Linked DNA regions of Callithrix jacchus. The protein of the gene in region 6 purifies or fractionates together with the protein of the main gene of each other region. This does not show direct contact. Links are inferred from orthologs where the notes say so. Each region holds a gene or a part of one and is shown on either strand. Other genes may lie near its edges. The genes, in order: NOPCHAP1, MAU2, SMARCD2, MTA2, ANP32E, KPNA1 and NCBP1.

Evidence for each region.
Region 1: the proteins of KPNA1 (region 6) and NOPCHAP1 purify together in Homo sapiens (co-immunoprecipitation; 3 studies listed by BioGRID and IntAct, with this or other methods). This does not show direct contact. The link is inferred for Callithrix jacchus from reciprocal best matches to the Homo sapiens genes KPNA1 and NOPCHAP1.
Region 2: the proteins of KPNA1 (region 6) and MAU2 purify together in Homo sapiens (affinity purification with mass spectrometry; 3 studies listed by BioGRID and IntAct, with this or other methods). This does not show direct contact. The link is inferred for Callithrix jacchus from reciprocal best matches to the Homo sapiens genes KPNA1 and MAU2.
Region 3: the proteins of KPNA1 (region 6) and SMARCD2 purify together in Homo sapiens (affinity purification with mass spectrometry; 3 studies listed by BioGRID and IntAct, with this or other methods). This does not show direct contact. The link is inferred for Callithrix jacchus from reciprocal best matches to the Homo sapiens genes KPNA1 and SMARCD2.
Region 4: the proteins of KPNA1 (region 6) and MTA2 purify together in Homo sapiens (co-immunoprecipitation; 3 studies listed by BioGRID and IntAct, with this or other methods). This does not show direct contact. The link is inferred for Callithrix jacchus from reciprocal best matches to the Homo sapiens genes KPNA1 and MTA2.
Region 5: the proteins of KPNA1 (region 6) and ANP32E purify together in Homo sapiens (affinity purification with mass spectrometry; 4 studies listed by BioGRID and IntAct, with this or other methods). This does not show direct contact. The link is inferred for Callithrix jacchus from reciprocal best matches to the Homo sapiens genes KPNA1 and ANP32E.
Region 7: the proteins of KPNA1 (region 6) and NCBP1 purify together in Homo sapiens (co-immunoprecipitation; 3 studies listed by BioGRID and IntAct, with this or other methods). This does not show direct contact. The link is inferred for Callithrix jacchus from reciprocal best matches to the Homo sapiens genes KPNA1 and NCBP1.

What each region holds. Positions count from the first base shown.
Region 1 is NC_133510.1:107,923,108-107,926,758, reverse strand, and holds part of NOPCHAP1 (NOP protein chaperone 1), read right to left. Parts: intron 513-3,651; coding exon 376-512; intron 1-375. UniProt on the Homo sapiens protein: Client-loading PAQosome/R2TP complex cofactor that selects NOP58 to promote box C/D small nucleolar ribonucleoprotein (snoRNP) assembly. Acts as a bridge between NOP58 and the R2TP complex via RUVBL1:RUVBL2.
Region 2 is NC_133523.1:18,025,857-18,029,507, reverse strand, and holds part of MAU2 (MAU2 chromatid cohesion factor homolog), read right to left. Parts: intron 3,193-3,651; coding exon 3,106-3,192; intron 1,703-3,105; coding exon 1,653-1,702; intron 1,425-1,652; coding exon 1,347-1,424; intron 1,255-1,346; coding exon 1,143-1,254; intron 1-1,142. UniProt on the Homo sapiens protein: Plays an important role in the loading of the cohesin complex on to DNA. Forms a heterodimeric complex (also known as cohesin loading complex) with NIPBL/SCC2 which mediates the loading of the cohesin complex onto chromatin.
Region 3 is NC_133506.1:89,116,726-89,120,376, forward strand, and holds part of SMARCD2 (SWI/SNF-related matrix-associated actin-dependent regulator of chromatin subfamily D member 2), read right to left. Parts: intron 1,815-3,651; coding exon 1,630-1,814; intron 1,442-1,629; coding exon 1,399-1,441; intron 1,250-1,398; coding exon 1,127-1,249; intron 1-1,126. UniProt on the Homo sapiens protein: Involved in transcriptional activation and repression of select genes by chromatin remodeling (alteration of DNA-nucleosome topology).
Region 4 is NC_133511.1:119,870,935-119,875,261, forward strand, and holds the start of MTA2 (metastasis-associated protein MTA2), read right to left. Parts: upstream 2,912-4,327; 5' UTR 2,534-2,911; coding exon 2,506-2,533; intron 1,757-2,505; coding exon 1,689-1,756; intron 1,337-1,688; coding exon 1,243-1,336; intron 1-1,242. Other genes in the region: EML3 (echinoderm microtubule-associated protein-like 3), read right to left, coding at 3,554-3,757, 3,855-3,985, 4,258-4,327. UniProt on the Homo sapiens protein: May function as a transcriptional coregulator. Acts as a component of the histone deacetylase NuRD complex which participates in the remodeling of chromatin.
Region 5 is NC_133519.1:10,158,940-10,163,368, forward strand, and holds the start of ANP32E (acidic leucine-rich nuclear phosphoprotein 32 family member E), read right to left. Parts: upstream 2,814-4,429; 5' UTR 2,488-2,813; coding exon 2,434-2,487; intron 1-2,433. UniProt on the Homo sapiens protein: Histone chaperone that specifically mediates the genome-wide removal of histone H2A.Z/H2AZ1 from the nucleosome: removes H2A.Z/H2AZ1 from its normal sites of deposition, especially from enhancer and insulator regions.
Region 6 is NC_133516.1:80,579,084-80,582,734, forward strand, and holds part of KPNA1 (importin subunit alpha-5), read left to right. Parts: intron 1-1,425; coding exon 1,426-1,589; intron 1,590-3,041; coding exon 3,042-3,120; intron 3,121-3,651. UniProt on the Homo sapiens protein: Functions in nuclear protein import as an adapter protein for nuclear receptor KPNB1. Binds specifically and directly to substrates containing either a simple or bipartite NLS motif.
Region 7 is NC_133502.1:145,796,662-145,800,312, reverse strand, and holds part of NCBP1 (nuclear cap-binding protein subunit 1), read right to left. Parts: intron 2,467-3,651; coding exon 2,338-2,466; intron 1,740-2,337; coding exon 1,626-1,739; intron 1-1,625. UniProt on the Homo sapiens protein: Component of the cap-binding complex (CBC), which binds cotranscriptionally to the 5'-cap of pre-mRNAs and is involved in various processes such as pre-mRNA splicing, translation regulation, nonsense-mediated mRNA decay, RNA-mediated gene silencing (RNAi) by microRNAs (miRNAs) and mRNA export.

The DNA.
Region 1 (3,651 bases), on a different chromosome or scaffold from region 6:
ATGAGTATAAACGAGAGAACATTTTTACACAGAGCCTATGTAATCAATTGCTCTCTTCCACACATCATTTATTTTTATATACTGAATAAATCAGACTATAACTACCTCTTTTGGAGCTTGGACAGAAAAAAATCCAGTTAGGACATTTAGCAAATTAATGCTTCAGAATAACAAATGTAATATTTGACTTGGGGAAAAAAAAAACCCTCCTATGACATATGACTAAATCATAAAATGACTATGTACCTATACAACATTCGAAACATGAGCTAACACCAGGAAAATGACACTTGAAAATAAAATGGAAAAGTTCTCTCTTCTTCTCAGGTAGCAAGGTGAACTAGTAATTTCACCATATGAAAACAAAGCAGTTACCATTTGTATAACTTTGCCATGAGTCCCATCAATGTTTTCAATGTTGAAACGACCAGGTGGTGCAGCTGCCATTTCTTTTCTTAGCTTTTCATTTGCCTGTGCCATCTGTGGGAGAAAGGTCTGTACCTGATCCAACACTGTGGAAAGTAAATACAGTATATCAACATTTATGCCAGTAAATTCTGAAACTCAGGATTTCCTATAAACACTTCTGAATTGAGTACTAATAATAACAACCATAATTATATATCTTTTAATTCCCTTCTTTGAAAAACCCTTCATCCTCTTCTGAATAAAGCAGTAGGACAATACAATTCAGCAAAAAATTGTTTTCAAATGTTTTTATGTTTCTCATATATCCCCAGGACCGTAAACTCTTAGAAGGCTGGCATTCAACAAACAGTAACTAAATAGGGAGGCAGTGTGGCTTAACAGTTAAGAGTACCAGGTTCTGAGGTTTTAGAGTAAGACTGACTAGGTTATATATAGAATCCTAGTTCTACCTCTATCTGAATTACCTTGGGCCTGCTAATTAAGTAGTGGTTATTTCTGCCTACCCAACATCTGTTCCCTTTCTTCTGATCATATAACCCCGGCTTTCCTTTTAAGCTTGTGTCACTTTTAGTCACTCTTGTCCCTCACCCCATACATGCCTACATCCTCCATATCCTTAGTCACTGTAATGTGCTTTAGTGGCATACCAGTGACACAACGCTCTAGTCGGGCCAATAAGTTAACTCAGGGCCTTTTGTTGATCTGTTGAGAGAGAAATCTTGCTGAATGACTGACTGAGTTGCTGAATATAAGGCTGAAGCTCCTGATAAACTGGCAACTTGCCACACCTGAGATAAGAGCATGCCCTAGATTAGGTCAACACTAGGAAAGCAGAAATAAGAGACAGAGTGGCTGATCCCTGAGGACTTTGAGCACCTAGATCCAGATGTACCTGAAATCACCACCCCTGGAGTTTTTTTCCCCAATAAAAACAGCCAACATAATTTCTTTTTTTTTTTTTTTTTGCTTAAGGCTATCTGAGCTGGATTTTAGTCATTTGCAACCAAGAGTCCTAATTAATACATTTAATTATTTAATTTTACCACTTGAAACCTAATCTATAAAAGAGGAGTGATAATTGTCAGCCATTGTGCCAAGTACAGAGCAATCAATGAACTAAGGATATTTATTTATTTTTCTCTCTCGAAAGAGGCCCAGCACATAACCATGCATATAACAGGCTCTCAAAACTTATGTCAGTGCTATGGCTACATAATAGATGACTAAAATGTCCAGAGTATGGAAGAAGAAATAAAGTGGTGGTCAAGGTCAAGTAGATGACCTTTATTTGTAAAATAAGGTGCTGGAAGGACTCCCCAAGAGCATGTTCACAAACAAAGCCCTACACAATAGTGAAGGGTAGCTCTTATTCCCCTTCAGAGAGACAGAGAAATTACTGATAAAAATAAAGTTATTTCTCTGTCCTCAGATTTAAATCTATTGCTAGAGATAGAAAATCTGGTTCTGTTTTGTTTCCAACTAATGAATCAAGTAGAGCAAAACAAGAACCAAAATGTGTGGCCTGAACCGTGATTCTCAGAAGCCAAATATTTCCATGGTACTCTTGGAGAGTATATGCTGAACCCTGAGGCTAGTCCAGTTGTAGTTCTTCTAAATTAAATAAAATCCATCATACAAACCATAAGATTCAAAATGTCCAGCATCTAATAAAAAATTACCAAACATGCAAATAGATAGGAAAACCAAATACATAAAGAGTAGGGGAAAAAAATAGAAATAGATTCAGAAATGATACAGACAGAATCAGCAATAAGAATGTTAAAACTGCTCTTACAAATATGCTCTATATGTTTAAGGAAGAAAAGCAAAGCACAAACCCAAGGAAAGAAACAGAAGATGTAAACATCTCAAACTTCTAGAGATGGAAACTGTATCTATCTTGAAAAAACATATTTGATGGAATTAACAGATTAGACAATATAGAAGAACAGTGAACTCAAGAAAATCAGCAATAGAATCTATCCAAATTGAAACACATAACATGCAATACCCAATCAACGAGCTGTGGGGCAACTTTAACTGGCAAAATTAGGTGTAATTGGAGTCCCTTTGGGAGAGGCAAAGCAGGCACGACGGGAGCAACAACAACATAATCTCTAAAAAGTTCCCCAAATTTGATAAAGATTATAAACTCATAGATCCAGTATGTTCAACAAACCCAAGCTCAAGACGCACAAAGAAAACTACAAAGGGCACCTCACCATAAAATTGGTAAAAGCCAGTGATGAAGAGAATCTTAGAGGCAGCCAGAGGAAAAAGGAAACACCATATTCATGACACAAAATGACAGTAGACACTGGCATCAGAAACAATGCCACTGAAAAGACATCTTTAAAGTACTAGAAAAAAAAGAAAAAGCAAAACACCACACTGTCAACCTAGAATTCTAAATCCATTATAGCATCTTCCAAAAACTGAAAACAAAATAAAGACTTCCTCAGAAACACAAAGGCTGGTAAGTCTATTGTTGGCAGAGCCGCACTATTACGAATGATGTTTACCATAAGAACCTGATTTTTTTAAATGCATTCAAGATTTGAACAGGCACTTCAAAAAGATGCACAAATAGTGACACATGAAAAGATGCTCAACATTATTAATCATTAGAAACAAATTAAGATTACAACGTGATACCACTATATCTGCACTAGAATAGCTAAAATTAAAAAGACCATACCACATTTTGATTAGGATGTGTAGCATATAAACTCTCATACCTTGCTGGCGGAAATGCAAAATGGCAATTTCTTCTTCATAAAAAAGAATTTTACACCTTCCATATACCTGCAATCCCACTCCTAAGTATGTAACCCCTCAAAACAAAAACCTATATCCACAAAAACTGATTTTTGGATGGACAGCCACCATGAGGTCATTTTAGCTATTATGGATTTACTGCTACAGAAATAATGCTAAGGTTAAATTCCCCTTTCAGAGTACTCATGATTTCTTAGTTTATTGATGTGACACCTTCACGCTTATTTACATAAGTTTTCATTGAATTCTTGTCTTTTTTTTTTTTTAACATTAAGAGTGAATTACACGGTGGCTCACGCCTGTAATCCCAGCACTTTGGGAGGCCGAGGTGGGTGGATCACGAGGTCAAGAGATCGAGACCATCCTGGTCAACATGGTGAAACCCCGTCTCTACTAAAAATACAAAAATTAGCTGGGCATGGTGGCGCGTGCCTGTAATCCCAG
Region 2 (3,651 bases), on a different chromosome or scaffold from region 6:
AAAATATTCTCTAAAAAATAATAATAAAATCAATAAGAAAACAAAAAAGGCTGGGCATGGTGGCTCATGCCTATCATCCCAGCGATTTGGGAGGCTGAGACAAGTGGATCACCTGAAGTTGGCAGTTCGAGACCAGCCTGACCAATATGGATAAACCCCGACTCTACTAAAAATACAAAATTACCATCCTGCCTAACACGGTGAAACCCCATCTTTATTAAAAATACAAAAAATTAGCTGAGGCGTGGTGGTGTGCACCTGTAGTCCCAGCTACTTGGGCAGCTGAGGCAGGAGAATCGCTTGAACCGGAGATGGAGGTTGTGGTGAGCAGAGATCGTGCCACTGAACTCCAGACTGGGTGACGGAGCGAGACTCTGTCTCAAAAAAATAAAAAACAAAAAACCACACACAGAATTAGCTGGGCGTGGTGGTGCATGTCTGTCATCCCAGCTACTTGGGAGGCTGAGGCAGGAAAATCAGCTGAACCGGGGAGGCAGAGGTTGTGGTGAGCAGAGATGGTGTCATTGTACCACTTAGGCCTGGGCCATAAGAGCGAAACTCCATCTCAAAATTAAAAAAAAAAAAAAAAAAAAAAGGAAAGAAAATTCAAGACCTTGTGAGATCAGGTGGGTGAGAGCAGGTGAGGAATTGACAGGAAGGACTGAGGCAGCTGGTCCCGTCAGAGACCAGCTGGCTTTGGGTAGGGACCAACCCCAGGGGGCACTTGTACCCTGAGAGGACGCTTTGCATGCCAGGCAAGGAGGAAATGTTTGGGATTCTGGCTGAGAGGAGGTAATTTCCCTGCCCCTTGGGTGTCCACAGGATGGGGTGCCTGTGTCATCCCTGCCAGCTCAGGGCAGCTTCTTTGGCCCTGGCTTCAGCTCCCCTGACCCCTGGAGCTCTGCCTGCCCGATGTCTGAGGCCACACCCATTGGGCCTCCTGCCTGCCCCCACACCCTCCGTGGGTACCCAGCTCCCTTGCCCCTGCCTGCCCAGACTGGCAGCCAGGGTGCCCACCTAGACACACTCTTCAAGGGGCATAGGATGAACAGTGCCATGCTGCCCCTAGGCTGCTAGCTGGCTCCTGTCCCTCAGCCAGCCCCACAGGCACCCAAGCAAGGGGCCCAGGCCAGGGCACTCACTCTATGGTTTCCCAGCACGTAGAAGATGTGGCCCAGGAGCACGAGAGAGCAGGCCGTGAGCCGGTTCAGGTCCTCGGCATTGGACATCTTCAGAGTTTCCCGCAGAAATCGCCTGACAAGGAGAATGCAGACGCTGACACCTGCAGGACAGGGCCTGGGCCACCCTGAGCACAGCCCACCCGCTGCCCTCTGCCCTGCACTCACTTGGCCTCATTGTAGCGTCCCTGGAAGAAGGAGAAGAGCCCGCGCACATAGAAGGCAGCCGCTCGGAGGCAGTGTGAGCTGTGGGGAGAGTGTAGTGTCACGTGGGGTGGGGATTTAGATAAAGCAGCAGGTTTACAAAAACGGCAGTGGGCAGGCAGCGGGGGAGGGATTTCTGAGAGCCCCCTGCTGCAGACTGTCTGTGAGGAGGGGTGTGGGGTGTCAGGGTGCAAAAGGCAGTTGGGGGCCCCACCTCAAAGAGCACAGGGAGCCTAGGCCATGTGTGGAGTGGCGCCTAGAGCGGCTCACCTGACAGGGAAGCTGTGGTCTGGGTTGATCCTCTCCAGCAGACTGTAGAGCTAGGGGAGGAAGAGCCAGTCAGCACCACTCTGCATTTTCACAGAGGAAAGGTCCCCACAACGCACTGCAGTACATGGGCATTTCTCTACACTCCTGTAGGGACTGTGGCTGACCAGGTAGAGCCTGGTGACTGACCAGCGAGTGGTCTCTGGTGAGAAAGGCCAGGGGCAGGACCCTCACACCCTCGACTGGCCCTGCCTGTGCCACCCTGTCCTGTGGTAGGTGACGGGGGCCTGGGTGTCCAGGAGGCCTCTGTATGGTCAGAGTGACGCTGAGGGGCAGTGGGCAGATTGGCAGGCTGGGGTCCATGAGCCCTGTGGGCCGGTGGGGGTGAATGGAATTTCTCTGGAGGTGCAGGGACCCTGTGAGGCTCTGATGGGGGCGTGATCTAGTATTTTAGATGCCCTCTGGCTGCAGAGGCTCAGGGGAGCCAGGCTCCTCCTCAACACTGCGAGCCCACATCTGGCATCAGATGACCCAGTCAGGGCTGGATCACGGCTCATTGTAGCCTCAACCTCCTTAGCTCAAGTGATTCTCCTGTCTCAGCCTCCCAAGTACTTTGGACCACAGGCCTGCACACCCACACTGGGTTATTTAAAAAATTTTTTTGTAGAGATGGGGGTCTCACTATATTGCCCAGGTCTTTAACTCCTGACCTCAAGGGATCCTCCTGCCTTGACTTCCCAAAATGCTGGGATTACAGGCATGAGCCACTGCCTCAGGCCTGAGACACTTTGGAGGCAGACTCCAAGGGTTGAAAGGAATACTAGAACTGAGGGATGTCTTAGAGCTGAGGGGGATCCCAGGGCTGAACAGGGAATCCCAGGGCTGAGGGGGATCCCAGGGCTGAAGAGGGAATCCTGGGGGCTGATAAGAGGATCCTAGGGCTGGGGGGGATCCCAGGGCTGATGGAGGATCCTAGGGCTGAGAGGAACTGCAAAGGGAACCTGACTCTTGTGAGCACTGGCTCAGAAGTCCACGTCAGAGTGCTTGGCCTATGAGGACAACCCTGGGCGCCCCTACCCAACACTGGAGCCAGTGAGGGCCCCGACCCTGCAGGGGAACCAGTACAACCTGGGGACAAGGTGCCCCAGCTGCTGTCCCTTAGGGCTGGGCCTCAAGGCCTGGTCGATATCCTAGAGCAGAATGCTTGGGCTATAAGACTTTGTCTGTGGGATTCATATAGCTTGGCTATGGGAATGTTGTTGTCCCAGACCTGGCCTCCCTTGATCCACCTCTGGGTCACCCTGTGTGCCTCTGTGTCAAGTGCACCCATCCCTCAAGGTGAACACCCTGGGGTGTGCTGTTTGCTGAGATTTGCTGGTGCCCAGGACAACCCCCTGGTTCCCCAAAAAGAAGAGAATGAAGAGAAAGGATACCAAACATGAAGCATGTCACCTACTACCTCTTGGTGCCTATTTCCTTCCCGTATATACACACTCGCCAGGTTGGTGACGATGAAGGCCCACAGCTCCTGGTGGTTCGTGAGCTGGAACGGGAGATGGGGACGTTAGGAGGCTGGGCTGGGTGCTGTGACCCACATGGCAGTGTCAGAGCCACCCACAATCTCCACGGAGACTACTTCAGAAAAGACTTGTTCTTTTCATTTCAAATACACTTGCCTTGCCTCCAATACCCAAGGGTAACACAGTTATCAATTCTTCTCATTATAAACCATTGTCTGCCCTACGGAGCAGTTAGAGAACAGAGAAGAGAAAAACCTGAGGCCGGGAGCAGTGGCTCACGCCTGTAATCCCAGCACTTTGGGGGGCTGAGGCGGGCGGATCATGAGGTCAAGAGATCGAGACATCCTGGTCAACATGGTGAAACCCCATCTCTACTAAAAATATAAAAAATAGCTGGATGTGGTAGCATGCGCCTGCACTCATGAAGTCCCAGCTACTCAGGAGGTTGAGGCAGGAGAATTGCTTGAACTGGGGAGGAAGAG
Region 3 (3,651 bases), on a different chromosome or scaffold from region 6:
GATGTCTGTAGTCCCAGCTACTTGGGAGGCTGAGGCAGGAGGCTTGAACCCAGGAGGCAGAGGTTGCAGTGAGTCAAGATCGCACCACTGCACGCCAACCTGGGCAAAAGAGCGAGACTCTGTCTCAAAAGAAAACAAGAGGCTGGGCGTGGTGGCTCACACCGTAATCCCAGCACGTTGGGAGGCCAAAGTGGGAAGATTGCAAGGTCAAGAGTTTGAGACCAGCCTGGCCAATATAGTGAAACCGTCTCTACTAAAAATACAAAAATTAGCTGGGTGTGGTGGCATGTGCCTACAGTCCCAGCTACTCGGGAGGCTGAGGCAGGAGAATAGCTTGAACCTGGGAGGTGGAGGTTGCAGTGAGCCAAGATTGCGCCACTGCACTCCAGCCTGGGCAACAGAATGAGACTCTGTCTCAAAGAAAAAAAAAAGAAAAGCTTCTCTATGGATAGGAAAGGAGAAAGGAACTACCTTTATCTTCTAGTCTAGTAGTTTTCAAACTTTTGATTACGACCTATAAGATTTACATTTTCTTTTTTTTTTTGAGATGGAGTTTCACTCTTGTTACCCAGGCTGGAGTGCAATGGCACGATCTCGGCTCACCGCAACCTCCGCCTCCTGGGTTCAGGCAATTCTCCTGCCTCAGCCTCCTGAGTAGTTGGGATTACAGGCACGTGCCACCATGCCCAGCTAATTTTTTGTATTTTTAGTAGAGACGGGGTTTCACCATGTTGACCAGGATGGTCTTGATCTCTTGACCTCGTGATCCACCAGCCTCTGCCTCCCAAAGTGCTGGGATTACAGGCTTAAGCCACCACGCCCAGCCAAGATTTACATTTTCAATTATGACCCAAGGTCTGCATATTTATCTGAAACAAAAATTTCATGAAAGAATACCTTTACTACTATGGTTAGTACTATTGAGAAGTATTTTTAGATTTTCTACTGTCATACATTCATTTGAAACATACTGGTCCCAAGACATTCCAGAGTTTGGGCTTTACTAGCAGGCTGCATCCTGCATGTGAAAAACCAGCTCTAGCCTGACTCGTTTGGCCCCTGGAAAACAAGTGGATGGAGGGCAAGGAAACCTGGGATGGCTGGAGGCGGTCAGGGCCACACATACCGTCAGAGGCTTTTTGATGGCCTCCTGGATCTCCATTCGTTTGCGAGCAATGGTCTGGTCCAGCTTCCGCTCAAAAGCCAAGAGATCCATGTAGGCCTGAGACTCTGGGACAAGCTCCCGGATCTGGAGGAAGGTAGCAGGAGCTCATCAGCTCGCTTCAGCCAAAGCCTGACTCTTTCCTCCCTTCCTCCTGCAGCCCAGGGTTCAGGGAGATGGATGCCCACCCCCAGGCGGCCACTGGGCAGGCCTCCAGGCCTCCTCTCAACACTTACTCGTTGAGGTAGAACCTTATCTGCCATCTTCCTCCTCTTTAACCTGGGGAGGACAGAAACCCACTTAAGAGGTCAATGGTCCAAAAAAGGACACTTGCCCCCCAACACCCCTCCTGTCTCCAGGACCCTCTACCCCAGTTCCTCAGTCACCAGAGCTCTTAAGATAGAAGCAAACCCTCTACCACCACCAGAGCCGAGTTAGGTAGAGTGGGAGAAACAGGATGCTCTTACCCCCGGCGCTGGGCAGGCATGGGGGGCTGCACCTGGGGCACAAGCAGGCGTTTTCGGAATGGATCCATCATGGTAGGTGGCATGCCAGGTCGAAGTGGAGCTGCAGCACCAAATGGGGAGCCAGCAGGGGGTCCCACCTGCAACCCAGCCATGGGCATCCGGTTCCCTGGTGACATGCCAGGTCGCTGGGGGAAGTGAGCCAACGGGGATGCATAGGTCAGGGGCAGGGCCCTCTGGGACCCATAGCCCATGCCCTCCATCCCTCTCGTCACCTAGGTCGGGCCTGCTGGAGCAGCAAGTCAGAGCCCTGCTGGAGCACCAGGAACAAAGAGGAGCGGGCACCTGAGCACAGAGTGTAAACCACACCTGCCCTGCCCCCTGCAACCACCCTGGCAGCTGTGCCAGCAAATGAGGCCTGCCAGAACCTGGGCTGGGAGGAGGGTCCTGCCTGCAGAAGGAAGGGCCTAGGGGAGCTTTTCAGGGCCCATTGCCACCTTCCAGCCCCAGCATGCTGTGCCCTATTCCTTGGGACAAGCCTGTCCCTATTCCCTCAGATGGTCTCACCAAGCCCTGCCCTCCTCTTTCCCCCATATCATGAGGGAGAAGCACAGTTGGGAGGCATGGGGGCAGTGTCACTGCCAGGCAGAGGGGTGGGTGTACTATGGTATGAGCAGGCCAACGGGCAGAGCCCCAATTCCTATCCTCTGTGGCCAAGGGAGAAAGGGGTCGGGTAGGCAGCAGCACCCCAGGTGAGCAGGGCTGCAACAGGATGGCTTGGAATGTGTACCAGCTGGTGGGGGTGGCCTCAGGCAGGGTACAGGGATAGTCTGGTCACCATGAAGCCCCTATCCACAGCCCAGAACTGGACCCTCCTTTCACCTCCCTACTGCCCTACTACCACCCCTATGCCAGAAGACCCCAGAAGGGAAGCTATGGCTCCTGGGTAGCCTGTGGGAAACAGCAGCTGGGACCTGGACTCTGCCCATGGTCTAGGCACCACCTGACAGCCATGACTGGCTCCAGCTCCGTGCAGCCCCGGCAATCCCAAGCTAGAGAAGGGGATCTAAAATGATCCTGGGAGGCAAGGATCAGAGGCCCAGGCTGAGCAACAGGAAAGTGGGAAACAGAAATAGTTTCTTTAGATGCCTGCAGGATTTCCCACCTGAGGCCTTGCTCCCCAACATTTCTGTGGAACCCATCTGAGAGTCACCTCCGCCCCTCCCTCCCATGGCTGCTGCCTGCAAGGCCTGTTTGGCAGCTCTGCCTCGCACACACTGTCCCTGGCAGCTTCACAGGGCTGGCCCCAGGGCCCAGATTATGCAACGAGCACAACCAGCCAACCAAGCCCAGGAGGGTGGAGACTTGTACCAAATCAAAGGACCCTCCCCCACCCCAGCAACAAGGAGATGAGATTTTTCCCCAGCCTCTTCATCTCACACCAAACCCATGTTCCCAACACAGAGGGTCAGATTCTTGACCAGATGTGGAGATGGAAAGAAACATGACCTACAGACATGAGGATGGGGAGAGCAGGAGCACGGTGGGAGGAAGTGTTTGGGAGAATATAAAGCTCAAAGTGGGGGGCTCTGGGGCTTTGGGAGTCCTGCCAAAGTCTCTCTCCATCAGGAAGAGATTAATCAGAGCTGTTGAAAGGCAAGACAGCCTCTTTCTCTGCCTTAAGGATGGTTCTTTCTCTGGCCTGAGATTACAGAAAAAAACGAAGTGTGGCTACAGTTGTAAGCTCAGGGTGCAGACATCCCAGACTTGAGATTTTTCCTAGTGCCCGAGACAAAGACAGGGAAAATCGAAGCAGTGGGTCCTGCAGAGTGTGAGCGACAGCCCTGTGACCCCCAAGAAGCTCCCTGCTGGGGCTTTCACAAAACCTGCAGCACCACCCATCCCTCCTGGCCAGGTACTAGGGGGAACAGGAAGTCCCAAGACAAGGCCACACAGGCGAGGCCTGGAATAGGCTCCACCCAGACATCTGCCACAGACTTCCCGGGCCCAGAGCCCCCAGCTCAC
Region 4 (4,327 bases), on a different chromosome or scaffold from region 6:
ACAACAGGCCAGCAACAACATCACACTTGTCTCTTTCTTGCTAAACCAGCGTGAGATCCAGGAACCCAGTAAAATGAAAAAGTATCACACAAGACTATTTACAGTTATTTTCAATTTCAGGAGATTCTGCTCTAAAACATCACATGTGGCCCTAACTATCCCTCATTTTCTAATAATAGTTCCTGGGGTTTTCAAGGACAAGACCTCTCAAGCTAGTGGCAACACCTTCCTCCCCAAGGAGCTGCAGCTTGCCCTGAAACCTTGTGGAAGGGGTTAACCTGGCTAGGCGCCAACCAACGTGGGAGGGGACAGAAGAGCCTCAGGCCCAGGCTCATTGGTGCATTGTTCCCAACCTCAGGGAGAAGGGGGGTTGTGCGGTAGGCTCCACCCCTGGCCTATGTGCTCCGGAAACCCTGTGCTAAGGCAAGGGGGACCACACCCCCAACACTCATTCTGATTGGACAAGGCCAAGGTCAGCCCCTGCCAGATGGGGCTGGAAACCCTAAAGGGCCAAGGAACTTGGTAAGCCGGGATCCTTCTTAACCCCTTCTCACCCAGAACAGTCTGAAAAAGGAAAATTTAGAAAGGTGGAACAAAAGGAAGGAGAAAGAAAATCAAAGCAGGAAAGGAAAAAGAAGCTGAGGAAAACATGTTTCTTTGTGTTGTTTTTTTTTTTTAAAAAAAAAGATGAGAACTTAAAGAGAATGAAGACAGGGCAAAATGAAAAGGGAAAGATGTAAAATGGAGTGGGGGCCGGGAAATGGGTGAGGTAAGAAATGAAAAGTACAAGAAAACTTTCCTACCATCTTCCAGCTTCCAGGTATTCCCACCACCTTGTGATTACAAAATGAGCCTACTTCCCTGTTATGCGGGCCTCTCAGAACAATCTCTTCCTCTTCACCTTGACCTTCAGTCACCACCTACTGTTCTAATGTACACCAAACTGTCCCCCTTTAGAAAAGCATTCTGCTTCTCTGAAGTTCATCCTCATCCCCTAAATAAACATTATCATCTCTCTCTTACACTCATACACAAACCATATTATAGCTTTCCTTATCACAATCTCTCCACCCTGCTTCCAACCCCAACGTGTAAAAACAGGCCTCCCTCCTCAGACCAGGTATTTCCCACCCCTAAATTCACACCTCTGCCTTGGGCATGCTACCAGGAGAAACTCCTGCAGGGACATGCCCAGGCCTCAGATCATGGGGAGGGGGAAAAGAAAGAGATGAAGGTACTCACTGGCATTACTATCAGCCAGGCTGTTGAGACTACTAGAAATGTCCCTGCGCCGGAAAAGACAGACAACCTTTGCCTCCACATTTCCATTTGCAGTCTAAGGAGAGAAAAAAAAAATGTAGCAGTGAAAAATTGATCATCTGGGTACAGAAATGCACAGAGACAAATAACAGTAAGTTTCAGAGGAACCTAAATAAAAAATCCCAAGAAAATAGGAGTAAAGACTTACATTCAAGGACAGACTTCCAAATCCCTTTCCTTTGCCCCCAAGAGACAGAATAGTAAGTTCCTGCTAAGCTCTCAATAGCCTTTCCTGAATACATCCAATGAATGAATGAATGAATATGAATAGATACTTAGTATAGAGTCCTCTCTTCCACCAGAAGTTAGAAACCTCAGAAGAAAGAGACCACTGGGGGAGGGAGGGAGAGGGATTCTGCTCCACTCACCTTGTTGAGCTCCTCAATCCGTCTAACCAGGTAAGGATTGCTAGAGGAGTTCTCAAAATAGACGTAATCTGTAAGGGAGGGGAGGGGGAAGAACCACGAAGATCAGAGGACGAGACGGGAGACACAGAGCACGAGAGTAGGAGAGAAAGTTGGCCTGAGTGGACCAAAAGAAGATAAAGATCCAGGTAGAGAGGGCGCTGAGATGTGAAAGTGGAAAGACTAAGAGAAAATAAGGATGTTCCCCATCCCCACCACGCCTAGTTCTAAAATCGGATCCTTCACAGAAAAGTGAGCCTTAAGGAACAGGCAAGAAGCAGGGGTTCCCCTGCGTCCCCACAACTCAGCTATGAGTTGCAGCCCAGTCGCGGCGAAGTCATTGTTCACGCTGGCGCTGGGCCCCCACCTTTTCGAACCGAGGCGCACAATAACGCCTGGGAAGAGGAAATCTCCGGGCGGCTCCCCCGCGGTGGCAAAGCCGTCGCCCCAGCCCCTCGCGTCGCCTCCCTACCAGGTCAGCTCCTTCTGAACCAGTTTCCAAAGCCCACTCTGTACCCGGGGGAGCCCCCGACGCAGCCCTGAGAGTGCCGTCGGGGCTGCCCGCAGCTTCTCTCCGGGAGTCTCGGCACCCTGCCGCGTCGCGGTCGCCGTTCCCGCACCCTCACTTCCCCGCTCCCAGTCTCCCGGTTCCGGTTCCGGTCCGCGCTCGGGTCCACGCTGCCCCAGACGCGGCGCCCCGCGCCACCAGGTGCGGAGTCCCTCCGGTCCCGACCCCAACATCTCCCGCCCCGGGCCCCGCACCCCTGCGCCCGGTACTCACCCCCCACCCGGTACATGTTGGCCGCCATGGCCGTTCCCGCCGCCGCCTCCGGCCGCACAAAGGGGTCCGGAAGGCTCGCGGAGGCAGGGCTCGGCTCGAGGCAAAGCCCCGAGCGTGGGGCTGTAGCTTCAAGGGAGTCTCAGTGGGGCCCGCGCAGCCGGCACCTCCACTGCCTCAGCCGTCGCGGTTCATCCCGGCCCGCGCTGTCGCCGCGGCAGATATCGCCCCACTCCCGGGACGCTGAGGCCGGCCCCGGTCCGCTCGGCTTCTTCCGGAACGAGCTCGGCTCCTGCCAGGCCAGAGCTAAGCTCCAGCTACCCCCGCCCCCGCCGAGTCCCACTAGTCGTTGGGATCTGCCGGCCGCAGGGAAGGCTTGCCCGGCCCGCCTCGGGGTTCGCCTCCTTCCGGAACACCTTCGGCCGATCCGGAGAACAAGGCCCACCGTTCGGCTTAGGTCGTAGAGCGAGACCCCGCAGATCGGCTACTTCCGGAAGAGGTTCGGCTCCTGTCGGCCAACAGCGGCCCGGCACTCGGCTATTTCCGTCGCAGCTCGGACCCACCCCATTTTTCCGAGGGCGGGAGAGAAGTCGGACTTAACTGTGTACTCGCTGGGTCCCTGCAGCTTCTCCTGCCGCCCCGAAAGACTCGCGCGCCTTCGCGCTTAACCAGGTTATTTGCAAGCGGCTTTGCCTGTTATTTGCATAAATGGTCTACGCTCCCTTACCCTTTCCGCACGCCTCTTTTCCTTCGTCCCCACCCCACAAGGCCCCGGAGGCCCCCAGCAGCGCCCCACAAAAGCACCGGGAGGCGACTTTGGTTCTCGTTTATTGCCCCTCAGCAGGCAGCGGGAGTCAAGGCCTAGGCTGGGGCTGCCCAGCTCAGCCAGCGGGTCTAAACAGTGTGTGCAGGGGCGCCGTTCGCGCCCTCCAGGGAAATGCGCGATCGGGAATGTCTGGAAGTCAGTCGAGGAGTCAGCCCCGGGTCTAAAGGAACTAGGGCGGGGCGGGGCGGGTCCACGCCTTCAGCCAGTTGGTCCGCCAGGCCGAGATCAAACGTCAAGGGAGGAGGCGGGGGACAGGGAGGGGGTTCGAGAGGGCGTGGCGGGCGCTGGCCCCGCGCCCCCTGCTCCCAGCATTCGCCACTGGAAGATGCTGGCATCCTTGCCGCCCAGCGAGACGAGGTGCGAGTCGTCGTACGTGAACCGGACGCTGGTCACGTGGCTGCCGTGGCCACCGTACATGCGGCTCGGCGCCTGGACAGGAGGGAAGGGAGTTGCGGTGGCGGCGGAGCCCTCGGGCCCACCCGTCCTGTCCCGCCCCACCCCGCCCCGGAGGCCCCTGCGGCCTCACCTTGGCACGAGCACACGGGTACTGGAAAAGATGCACTTTGCAGAAGTCGTCAGCCACCGCCACCACGCGCTCATTGTGGGAGCGGCACAGGGAGTTGATGTCGGTCCCATCGGAGCCGTCCGGCCACACGCCTAGCACAGCGGCCGGCCTCAGCCCGACCTCCTCCCCACTGCCACCCACGGCCCAGAGCTGCACTATTTCAGGCGCTCCGGCAGCCACGGCCACCCACTGCCGCGTTCCAGGCAAGCCTTCCCGGTCCCGAGGGCCGGGGGGGGGGGGCCTCCTGGGCTGGATCTTCAGGTTTCTGGACTCCCACCCAACGACACACGCCCAGCGTTTCGAGCCCAAACTGGGCTCCACCTTGTCCCCCGCCCCTCCAGCAGGGTTCCACGCCCCTGCTCACCGTAGACGTGAAAGCCCAGCACACAGGTGTACGTAGCCCACTCCCGGTCTCGGCTCTCATAGCGATTCTT
Region 5 (4,429 bases), on a different chromosome or scaffold from region 6:
CGGCCTCCCAAACTGCTGGGATTACAGGCTTGAGCCACCACACCCAGCCTGTTTAATCACTTCTTTAGTTTAAACCCCCTTCCCTTTGGTTGATAAATGCCATCATAACTCAAAAGAAACCTCCTTACCCTTCATGAAGAAATGTTAGAAAACTTCTGGGAACAGCCCAGAGGGTGTCATTTCTTCTCACATCCAGGCCAAACAGTATCACCCAGAACAATACATTCTTAACAAAATGTTACTTCTCCCTACCACTGTGGTATAATAGCATTTCTGTGCACTTCTCCCCATTCCTGAGGAAGTGGGGCTGAATTCCCTATTAGGTAAGAGTTGTAGTAACAAACTTCCTGGTGTAGGCCTGAATGGCCTTAATCTTTAACGGAAAGGCCGAAGACTGTAGTTCTCTACACCCAAGGCGAAAACTTGTTTGAGGTATCTGTGAGCTAAAATTTAGCAACAAGGAATCCCACCTTCTCTATTTGAATATGACTCTGAGAAAATTATTTCTGTGGTCAGAGAGAGCATCTTGAGCTCCGTTCTGGAGAGGAGGAATGGCCCAGAGGTCAAGAATGACATGCCTAGGCCCATAGTTTGTTTGTGACAGGGCTGTGTACTGGTTCAGTGTTCTGACTCCACTCCGTTTAGCTGAGGGGTGGGGGCTGCTACATTTGGTGTCAGAAAACCAGTTCCTCCACTTGTGTAACTCATTTCACCGCCCTGAGACTCCCATCTGCTAATTTGGAATCTACAACACAATCTACCTTACAAGTAAGGAGGAAAGTAAATAACAAACGGGAAAAGTGCTTTGTAAACTGTCTATACAAATATAAGAGACCGTTATTACAACAGAGCGGAAGGAGCTGAAAAACGGCAACGTCCTGAACACCCCAAAACTGGCAAAGAAATTACTACAATCACTAAGTGAAAGAATCCTGGCGGGGCGGGGGGTGTCCAATTTTCCAACCCAAGCCACCAAAAAGTATTCTAAACGTGTGCTTCTGAGAGACAGCTTTTAAAGTTTGAGTTTTTTTCCTGAAGCCTCTAATAATAAGCTCTAGAAACAAGCTCTCTCCGGGATGACCCTGATATCCCGTATCCCCTCCCTGGCACCTGCCAATTTCAGGAAAACAGGGACCTAAAAATAAAAAAATTTAAAAAGTGTGAGTTCCCACTCCGCACGCCGGACGCGAAAGCTCAGAGCTTGCTCATCTTCTCTGCGGGTCTGCACAGACACCACCCCAGTTATATGCTATCGATCGGTCGGTCCAGCTCTACACACCTCCCTCATATTCCAATTCTAGAGCTTATTTCAGCAAGACTGCTGCTTTCCTCCGCGAGCCTCCCCGCTGGCCACCCGCCCCGCTCTCGCGACCTGCCGCTCCGGCTGACGGGAAACCCCACGGGGGGCGGAGACTCCCCAGGGGAAAAAGGGGTCGCCTCCCAGCTCGCGCTGCCGTCCCGCGTTCGCCCCGGGTAGGTGAGGCCCAGGAGGCAACCGCGAAAACGAGGCGGAAACGCCTCCCGCCCGACCCCAGAAAAGTTGACCGCGACCCCGCCTCGCGTGGCCCCTCCCAACCCCGTCTCTTTAACTAAGGCGACAGCAGTGAGAGCGCATCATTTAGTTTCGCCGAACCCATCTTTGAAGCACGAAACTACTACGTCCCTTTATGCTGAGTTTGGTGAAACCGTCTCCAGGGATCAGAGTTGCGGCCACACGACGTGCCAAATGTCGTTGCACCGCGCGGGGAAGAAGCGGATTACACCTCCCGTCCCCTCCCCACCTCCGGTCACTGCGACGAGTCCCCAAACTCGCCCGCGGTCGGAGAACCTGCCGCTGACCCAGATTCCGCCGGGTGGCGGGCGGTGCGCGCGGCTTCCCGGAGGAGTGGGCGCCTCCGGAGCAGACCGCGCGCGGACCCTGCGAGCGACCCCAGCCCGCCACCGGCGCGACGTCGGACGCCCAGGGCCTCGAGGCCGGGGGAGCCCACCCCCAGAAAAGATGAGTTGGCCGCACTGCAGAAAAGTTGGACTAACTTCTCAGGCGCCGATGGCTGCGGCAGGGGCCGAGTGGGACTGGGGGTTGCGCCCACGCCGCCGGCCCCGGGGAGGAGGAACGCCGGGAGCCGAGCGGCGGAGCGCCCCCACCAGCCCGCTTCCCGCCCCCACGAGGCCCGGACGCCCGACTCGATGAAAGCCGAAGGAGCTAAGCTCCCATGCACACACAAAAACGCCCCTAGAAACTTCAACCCTTCGCCATTTTAAGTAGAAGATTTTAATGATTTAAAACTTAAAATTAAACAATTCTCCAACCCTAGCCCCGGGGGGTGGGGGCTAACTTATTACTCCATCCCCGCACATCCACCGGGATCCCCAGAAACCCGATCCTCAGAATACAGGACTGATGGGGAAGGGGTGGGGGCTGAGTCATCTCACCTCCTCCGGGGCTCTGTTCCTTAACTCCAGGTTAATCTTCTTCTTCATCTCCATGTCCTCCTCTTGCTCTTCAGCTACTACTCTCCTTCCTTTCCCTTTCCTGCCTTTCCCACCACCCCCAACCCACAATTTTTAGGATTCAGAAATGAATGAAAAGGAACGCAAATATAAACGCCCACTACCACCAGATAGGTGTGAGGGAGAAAGAAGAGAATAGCAAATGGAGTCCAAGAGTTGGGACTCTAACTAAGCTGCCCCCACCTCCTTGTCCACACACTAGCGCGCGCACACACACGCACGCACGCGCGCACACACATACACACACACACACATACGCACACACCCGCAGTTCCTTCTCCTTCAATGGCTGCTCAGAGACTGAGCCTCCATGACACGGCACCGCCAACCCCCTGGCCTACACTCCACCCACCTCCCAAACGTATTGGTTGATTCTTCAGCGTCACATGATTCCATTGGGCAATGTAAACGTCTATCAGTCTTCAGGGAGGACCTGGACCAGAAACTCCGTATCTATTGGCTACGATCAAGCGCGCAGTTAATTTCGATAGGTCCAGGAGGGTGTACGTCCCGGAGAAATGATTTTGAATCCCAGTAGCCCCCCTACTTTTCTTTATGTAGTTGGCGCGCTTTCCCTAGGCACTCGGACGGTTTTGTTGCCTGTTGGAGTTGGTTTTTGGTTTTTTATTTCTTATTCTGTTGTTAGTGTTAAAGAGGGAGAAAGCATCCTTCCGTGCCCAAGTTGCGATACTGATAATTCACCACATGGCACGCACCGGCTGTTGGCCGTTTTAAAAGCACAGACTCTGCTTTGCAGCCAAGGTGTACAGCAACGCGCGCATCACATTAAAAAGATGACTTCGTGGCATTGTCCTGCTGGGGTCAGGCTTTTCACAGAGCCTGACCTTCCGTGATGCAGAGCCAGAGCCGAGATTTTAAAGATGGTAGTTTAACACCGTAAAAGACAACAATTTTGAAAGCAGCTGGGTGAAGTATGTACGTTAATAATATTTAAATAAAACGATCCTGGAGGAATTGTTACTGAGCTAATTGTTGCTGTAATAAACACTAAGACCTTGGCGGAAAAAACAACGCTGGCCTAATGAAAATCAGACATTAATTAGCATAGAAATGGCACAGCAATGCCTGTCTAATTTCCCTTTGGTTGGTTTCCATGGAAATCTGTAGGTAAAGTAGTCTTTTAAAAGTGTTTATCCTTCTCTGCCTTTTGGCTAAGATCAAGTGTAGAATCTGTTCTTATCAGTTTACTATCTGATGTATCTTCTCTCCGAGTCCAATATATTATATGGATTTTTGAAGCAGGAAGACGGACTAGGAGCTTGCTTGTCCACTTCATGCATGGACCTGGTATTACAGTACAGAACCCCTCAGGGGATTCAAATTTGGTGTTCAAGACACAAGAAGAAAAGTTTATCTATGTGGGATGGGATATGAAAGATTAAAATAAGAATTATCTTTTGGCCGGGCATGGTGGCTCACATCTATAATCCCAGCACTTTGGCAGGCCGAGGCGGGTGGATCACCTGAAGTCAGGAGTTCGAGACCAGTCTGACTAACAGGGTGAAACCCCATCTCTACTAAAAATACAAACTATTAGCCGGGCATGTTGACGTGCACCTGTAATCCCAGCTACTCCAGACGCTGAGGCAGGAGAATGGCTTGAGCCTGGGAGGCAGAGGTTGCGGTGAGCCAAGATCCAGCCATTGCACTCCAGCCTGGTCAACAAGGGCTAAACTCCATCTCAAATAAATAAAGAAAATGTAAATGCTTTAAAGGAAAACAAAACGATGGTTGTCTCTACAATGTTTCCTTTGAATTCCCTGCAAAGGAAATTTTGTGAAGGCGAAGAGAGGGGGAAAAGAGTTTTTAGTATAAAATGGCATCTCTGGCTGGGTACGATGGCTCATGCTTTAATCCCAGCACTTTGGGAAGCCTGGGCAGACAGATCGCTTGAGGC
Region 6 (3,651 bases):
CTCACCTACCTCTCATCCTTTACCCCAGAATCCCCAAAGTTTATTGTATCAATCTCATGCTTTTGTGCCCTCATAGCTTACATCCCACTTATGAATGAGAACATCTGATGTTTGGTTTTCCATTCCTGAGTTACTTTACTTAGAATAATGGTCTCCAGTTCCATCCAGGTTGCTGCAAATGCCGTTGTTTTGTTTCTGTTTATGGCTGAGCAGTATTCTATGGTATATATATCACAGTTTCTTTATCTACTTGTTGATTGATGGGCATTTGGGCTGTTTCCATAATTTTGCAATTGTGAATTGTGCTGCTGTAAATATGCGTGTGCAAGTATCTGTGCACGTTTGTAGCAGTGGAATTGCTGGATCAAATGGCAGATCTACTTTCAGTTCTTTAAGGAATCTCTGTACTATTTTCCATAGTGGTTATACTAATTTACATTCCCCTTTTCACCACATCCATGCCAACATTTATCGTGTTTTTGTTTTTTTGAGACAGGGTTTCGCTCTTGTTGCCCAGGCTGGAGTGCAGTTGTGCAGCACACTGCAACCTCCACCTCCCAGGATCAGGCGATTCTCCTGCCTCAGCCTCCTGAGTAGCTGGGATGATGGGCACACACCACCATGCCCGGCTGATTTTTGTATTTTTAGTAGAGATGGGGTTTCACCATGCTGGCCAGGCTGGTCTTGAACTCCTGACCTCAGGTGATCCACCCACCTCAGCCTCCCAAAGTGCTGGGATTACAGGCATGAGCCACCACATCCCGCCTGTTTTGATTTTTTGATTATAGCAATTCTTGCAGGAGTAAGATGGTATAACATTGTGGTTTCAATTTGCATTTCCCTGATAATTAGTGATGAGCGATGAGCATTTTTAAATGGTTTTTGGCTATTTGTATATCTTCTTTAGAGAATCGTCTGTGTCCTTAGCCCACTTTTTGATGGGATTGTTTTTTTCTTGCTGATTTGAGTTTCTTGTATATTTTGCATATTAGAAGAAACAGGATTTTTTTTTGGTAGTTGTTTTTAATTTGGAATCATTTTTCACTGAATTCATCTTAAAACCCTAGCATTTTTGGTCTAAAGTATCTAAAATACAGAATTTCTTAGCTTTCACATTTTTGAAAGTTTCTTTACCTCTTTAGTCCACAAAGAATGTGTTTTGACAAGGAATCTCACTCCAAGAATTGATGTATATAAAACTTTATGATCTGAAATTAATTTCCTTGGGCTCTGACTACAAATTAGTGCAAGACCACTGACAGCATTGTTAAAGATGGAACTGCCACTTAGGTACTTGTTGTTTCTTGAGAAGTGTAAATCACTCAAGAAGTCACCAAATTTATGCCTGGCTGCCTTCTTGAGTATCTCACCTCACTTCTGGCTTCTAGTCTGTTGGATTTCATAATCATCATTTTCCTTTTATAGGTTTCCCCATGTCTGAATGTGCTTTCCTGGTTGCTGTTTGTCAGTGACACTGATGTACTGGCTGATGCCTGCTGGGCCCTCTCATATCTATCAGATGGACCCAATGATAAAATTCAAGCAGTCATTGATGCGGGAGTATGTAGGAGACTTGTGGAGCTGCTGATGTAAGATATGTTTTAGAAAGTGTGTTCACTTTTTTTCCCTTGGTACTAGTTTTCTAGCTACTAATACTTAAATATTAATTGATTGTATATTATATTGGTTTATTGTGCTTTGGGCTACTATTTTTTGTTACTTGTTTATGTTGATGGCAGATCTGTTTGTCTTGTTTTATTGAGGCTTATAGAGAACCTCTTACTCCTCTGCTGTTAGCAGGCCTTTAGCAGAAATATTTGGAAAACTCTGATCTGTGTAGTTACAGTCTCATACTGGATGACCCGAGATCAACCACTGGACATCAGAAGATACACTGCCAATAAAATAGTCATTCCTTATCTTTCTGTCTCATTTAGAGCTTATTTAAGACAAGTATCAGAAACTGAATCTTACTTTGGTTTATCACCTTTGTGCTGCTTTTGATAATGCAGTAGAAGATTTACTCGTTAAATAAATAATTTGAGACTGTCTTAATCAAATTTTTAGATACGACAGAAGAAAAAAGTGATAACATAATGGAGAAATGGTACAACTACAAGCAACTGGAAATTTAATTAAAGTACAAAATAGATGCGAGGAGACATTGTCTCAAACATGACATTTGGAATAGATTAGATAGTTATAATATGTTAATACAAAATACAACATTATAGCTGGCTGCAGACTGAATGCAGAGCAGTATTGTAGTGCTAATGTGAATGAATGGCAGGCAGTATGATGCTGCAGGAGTCAGTACATCATTCAAAATCTGGGAAGTAAACCTTTGCATTCTTTATCCATTAGACTACTATATATTTTAGCCATTTCTTTTTAATAATCACATCTAAAATGTGAAGGAACTGGCAGTTTTTAGATGAGTGATCAGCCTTATTAAAGGGGCGGGAAAAGTAGGACCCTTAAAGAAAATCAAAAGTTTGTGTGTGTGTGTGTATGTATAGCTTTGTGGAGGGATTTTCAACCAGTAAGGGAGGGGTTTTCAACCAGTAAGGCAGCTTAGTAGGTTTAGTTGAAAGACCTTTATATTTGGAGTGTGACTCCTGACTTGCATTTTCAAGTTAGTTCGGCTGTTGATGTGTTGTTTTTAACCTCTGTGAAAATTAAGACAATTTATAAAACTTAAAACATGTTGCATAAATATTAACTATTGTTCTCCGTTATCTCAGCAACCATACAAGACCAAGTAAAGAGGAAATGAAACCTAAATTAAAGAATGAGAGGGAAAACTTGGAATCCAGGTGATGGAATACCTGGGAAAGATTCCTAGGAAAGATTGGTAGTTTTTTCCAAATGTACTAAAATAAAGGGAAAGACAGTAGGGGACATGATAAGAGTTCCCTTAATTACCCCCATAGGTACCTTTCTGCTCTAAAATTCTATCATAATTTTTTTTAATTTTGGTTCTAAGGAAATGAGACTAAGGATAGAACTGTTGGCTATAACATTACTTTTTATTTTTTCAGGCATAATGATTATAAAGTGGTTTCTCCTGCTTTGCGAGCTGTGGGAAACATTGTCACAGGGGATGATATTCAGACACAGGTATGAAGAAGTGATAATTGTTTCTTTGTTCCTTTAAAAAGAGTACTACATTGGCTGGGCATGGTGGCTCACACCTGTCATCTCAACACTCTGGGAGGCCGAGGCAAGTGGATCTTGAGGTCAGGAGATTATGATCATCCTGGCCAACATGGTAAAACCCTGTCTTTACTGAAATACAAAAAATTAGCTGGGTGTGGTGGTGCACGCCTGTAGTTCCAGCTACTTGGGAGGCTGAGGCAGGGGAACTGCTTGAACATGGGAAGTGGAGATTGCAGTGAGCCTAGATTGTGCCATTGCACTCCAGCCTGGTGACAGAGCGAGACTCCATCTCAAAAAAACAAAACAAAAAAACAGTACATTGAACTTCATGATCATATTTCTATTATAGTATTTAACTTCATATTATTAGGGAAATTTGATACTGTGTTTCACTAATGTTTAAAAATATTGAGCCAGTGCAGTGGCTCATGCCTGTAATCCCAGCACTTTGGGAGACAGAGGTGGGTAGATCGCCTGAGCCCAGGAGTTTGG
Region 7 (3,651 bases), on a different chromosome or scaffold from region 6:
AACCACAACCTCCACCTCCTGAGTTCAAGTGATTCTCCTGCCTCAGCCTCCCGAGTAATTGGGATTACAGGTGCCCACCACCATGCCTGGCTAATTTTTGTATTTTTTGTACAGACAAGGTTTCACCATGTTGGTCAGTGCTGAGGTTATAGGCGTGAGCAAAAGTATCCGGCCTGAAATACTCTGTGTGTTCCTCTATAAGCCATTAATATACTCAAATTCTTACAGGACTAGACACTGGGAAAGCTTTTAAAACTGGCAGTAACTGGCCAGGTGCAGTGGCTCACGCCTATAATCCCAGCACTTTGGGAGACCGAGGCAGGTGGATCACCTGAGGTCAGGAGTTCGAGACCAGCCTGACCAACATGGAGAAACCCCGTCTCTACTAAAAATACAAAATTAGTTGGGTGTGGTGGTGCAGGCCTGTAATAACTGTTATCCCAGCTACTTGGGAGGCTGAGGCAGGAGAATCACTTGAACCCATGAGGTGGAGGTTGCAGTGAGCCAAGACTGCACCATTGCACTACAGCCTGGGCAACAAGAGAAAAAATCTATCTCAAACAAAAACCCCCAAAATTGGCAGTAATATAAAATCAGGAATTCCTAAATAAATAAATAAAAAATAGGGAATTCCTATTTGGAAGCTCAAAGAATTGAACTTAAAAAAAAGGGGGGAAGGGATAGTATTAGGACAAATACCTAATGTAGATGACAGGGTGACAGATGCAGCAAACCACCATGGCACATGTATACCTATGTAATAAACCTGCACATTCTGCACGTGTACCCCAGAACTTAAAGTATAATAAAAAATAAATTTAAAAAATGAATTCTACATTAATCATTCTCCTAGAATGAACAAATGAAGACGTAAGGGAGTAGTGTCTGAAGACACAATTAGTTCCACTTTCCTATATATCTTTAACTTAAATCTGGGTGAGAATAGGTTGCTTCTGCAGAGAGACCCTAGGGAGCTTACCTTGATTCTGTGGACACTGTTTATCATCTGAACACTGGATTTTTAGGGACTTATAAATCCAATGACTGTCCTCTTGACATTTTTGTCCTCTACATTTTATATTATAGCTAGAATCCCTAGAATAGAAAATGGCAAGTAGGAGACTGGGCGCTGTGGCTCATGCCTATAATCCCAGCAGCACTTTGGGAGGCCGAGGCAGATCACCTGAGGTCAGGAGTTTAAGACCAGCCTGGCCAACATGGTGAAACTCTGTTCCTACTAAAAATACAAAAATTAGGAGTAGTGATAGGTGCCTGTAATCCCAACAATATGGGAAGCTGAATCAGGAGAACTGCTTAAACCAGGGAGGTGGAGGTTGCAGTGACCTGAGATTGTGTCACTGCACTCTAGTCTGGGCAACAGAGACTCAATCTTAAAAAAAAAAAGCGAGTGGGGGAGGGGCATTAGGAATCTAAGTGGTATAGAATCAGTTTAAGCCTAAATATTCTGATGAGCAATGGTAGCAGCAAATGGACATGAACTAAAGGGTCTAACAGGTAGGTACTATGAAACCTCCTCACAAATTTGACAAGGATTGGTTTTAAATCAAAAATCTTTGTGGCTGTGAATAGTGCTGTTTATTATCTAATTGAAGTTCTCCATGTACCTGTAGGAAGATCTGCTGCAGCCTCTCTATACAGTTCTTATACCATGGTGTTAATACACTGGTCCCATCAGTTTCGCATCGTACTAAGTGCTCAGTCAAGATCATGATAAACCGCTGGAAAGGGAGAAGGAAGTTAAGGTAGTACTAGAGATAGAATCTTTGGAAAAAAATTCATGACAAAGAAACTCCAAACTACTGCTTGTTCCACCCTGTCTTTGTGGTGTGTGCTCCTAACTTTCATTATTCATTAAGTCAACCTAAGGCAGACTGGTAATAACATGAGTTGGTACATAGTTCCTAGCAATACATAAAGACCTTTAATGTCTTAAATTACTTATCCTAGTAATATTACTTCCTGACATCTATTCTAACAAAATAATCAGAAATGTTAACAGGAATCTATGTATCAAAATGTTCATGGAAAAAAAATGATCAGCAAAGAGAATAATTAAATGAGATGTATTTAACAACAGCAACCCACAATTTTGTTTTAAAGCATGAAGAAATGCTCATGCAAGAATGTAAACAGCTGAGAAACTCAGAGACATACATAGTTGCCTGAGTAGTGAACTTTTATTTACTTCCAAATTTTTATATTTTTAATCTCTTCTATAAATGAGTGTGTATTCCTTTTATAATTAAAAATAGTATTTTTAAAAACTAAAAAAATGCATTGTTTCTTTTTATGTATAAATGTCCCAAGCCAAGATACCTGAAATATGACAAGGAAGAGATTCTTTTGTTCACTCTGAGCAGATTCCACTTTTTCCTGAAGTCTTTCTATTTGTTCCTCAAGAGCCCCATCTTTCCTATCACTGCTTCTGTCATCATCATCACTTCGCTACAGAAGGCAAGGGAACAAAAGGAAAATACCATTTAGAATTCCAGTGTATGAAATCCCCTCCAGGGGAAGGATTTTATTGTGGCTGGCCAAATGTTAAAGGCTTTTCTGTAGTAAAAGTATCCCCCACTCCACCACCCACACATATATACCTCAAAGTCCTGTTGTGGTTCAGAGATACTATCTTCTCACTCAAATTCCATGGGTTCTTATCTAGGCCAGGGAAATTTTGTGGCACTTTTCTTGGTAACAATGTGGGGGACTTGGCTCTAATTTATCACTATTTGGCCGTTTGAGTAGTAACAACAAAGAGGCAGCTTGCTTATCATTCATCTCCTAATGGGCCATATAAAAAAACTGGGCCAGTCCTATGCACCAAGGCTGCTCATTCTGGTCATAATTTAGAAATAGCTACATAGTTTAGAAATGACATACAATAATTCAAAGTGGCTGTTTAAGACTTTCTGCTGGCAATCATGGGTTCAATATACTCCTGTAAAGCTTTAATAATTCTCTCCTAGCTCACTCTGAAGACTTTACAGCATTTTGATTTTTTTTTTTTTTAAAGGAAAAGAAAAACAAGCCATGGTTTACTTCCATTTTACAGAGAAGGGAACAGGCTGAGAGGTTAGATGACTTTCCCAGTATCACCCAGCCTGAAAGTGGCAGAGCCAGAACAGGGCTCTCGGTGTTACATACCAAGTTACTTTCAACAAGAAGGTGGCATCACTGAATCTAGAAAGCCGGGAAATTCTTTGAGGTGATACCGTTACGGGCCCACCTACTGGTCTCCTCTATGCTTTAAGCAAAATGATCAGAACCCCACTCTCAGATGTCATAGAATCTTGCTTTTCTCTCTATAAACTCAGCCCCTGCTTATGAGGTCTGCTTTACGTTCTAGACACTTGGGTACATGACTGTCTTTTCCTAAGACCACTCTGAGGTAAGGTTCTAGAGTACTACTACCTAACAGACCTTTCTTCAACAGGGCAAACGTTTTATAAATATGTACAGCCTCTTACAAGAGCCACCGCATGTTACTACGTAGCACCTGAAATGTGGTTGTGTGACCAAAAAACTGAATTTTAAACTATTTAATTTTAATTAAACTAAAACGGTCACATGCAGCTAGTGGCTACTGGGTTGGACAGCACATTTCTGAAACAGTGTGGCATGAGAGAAAGT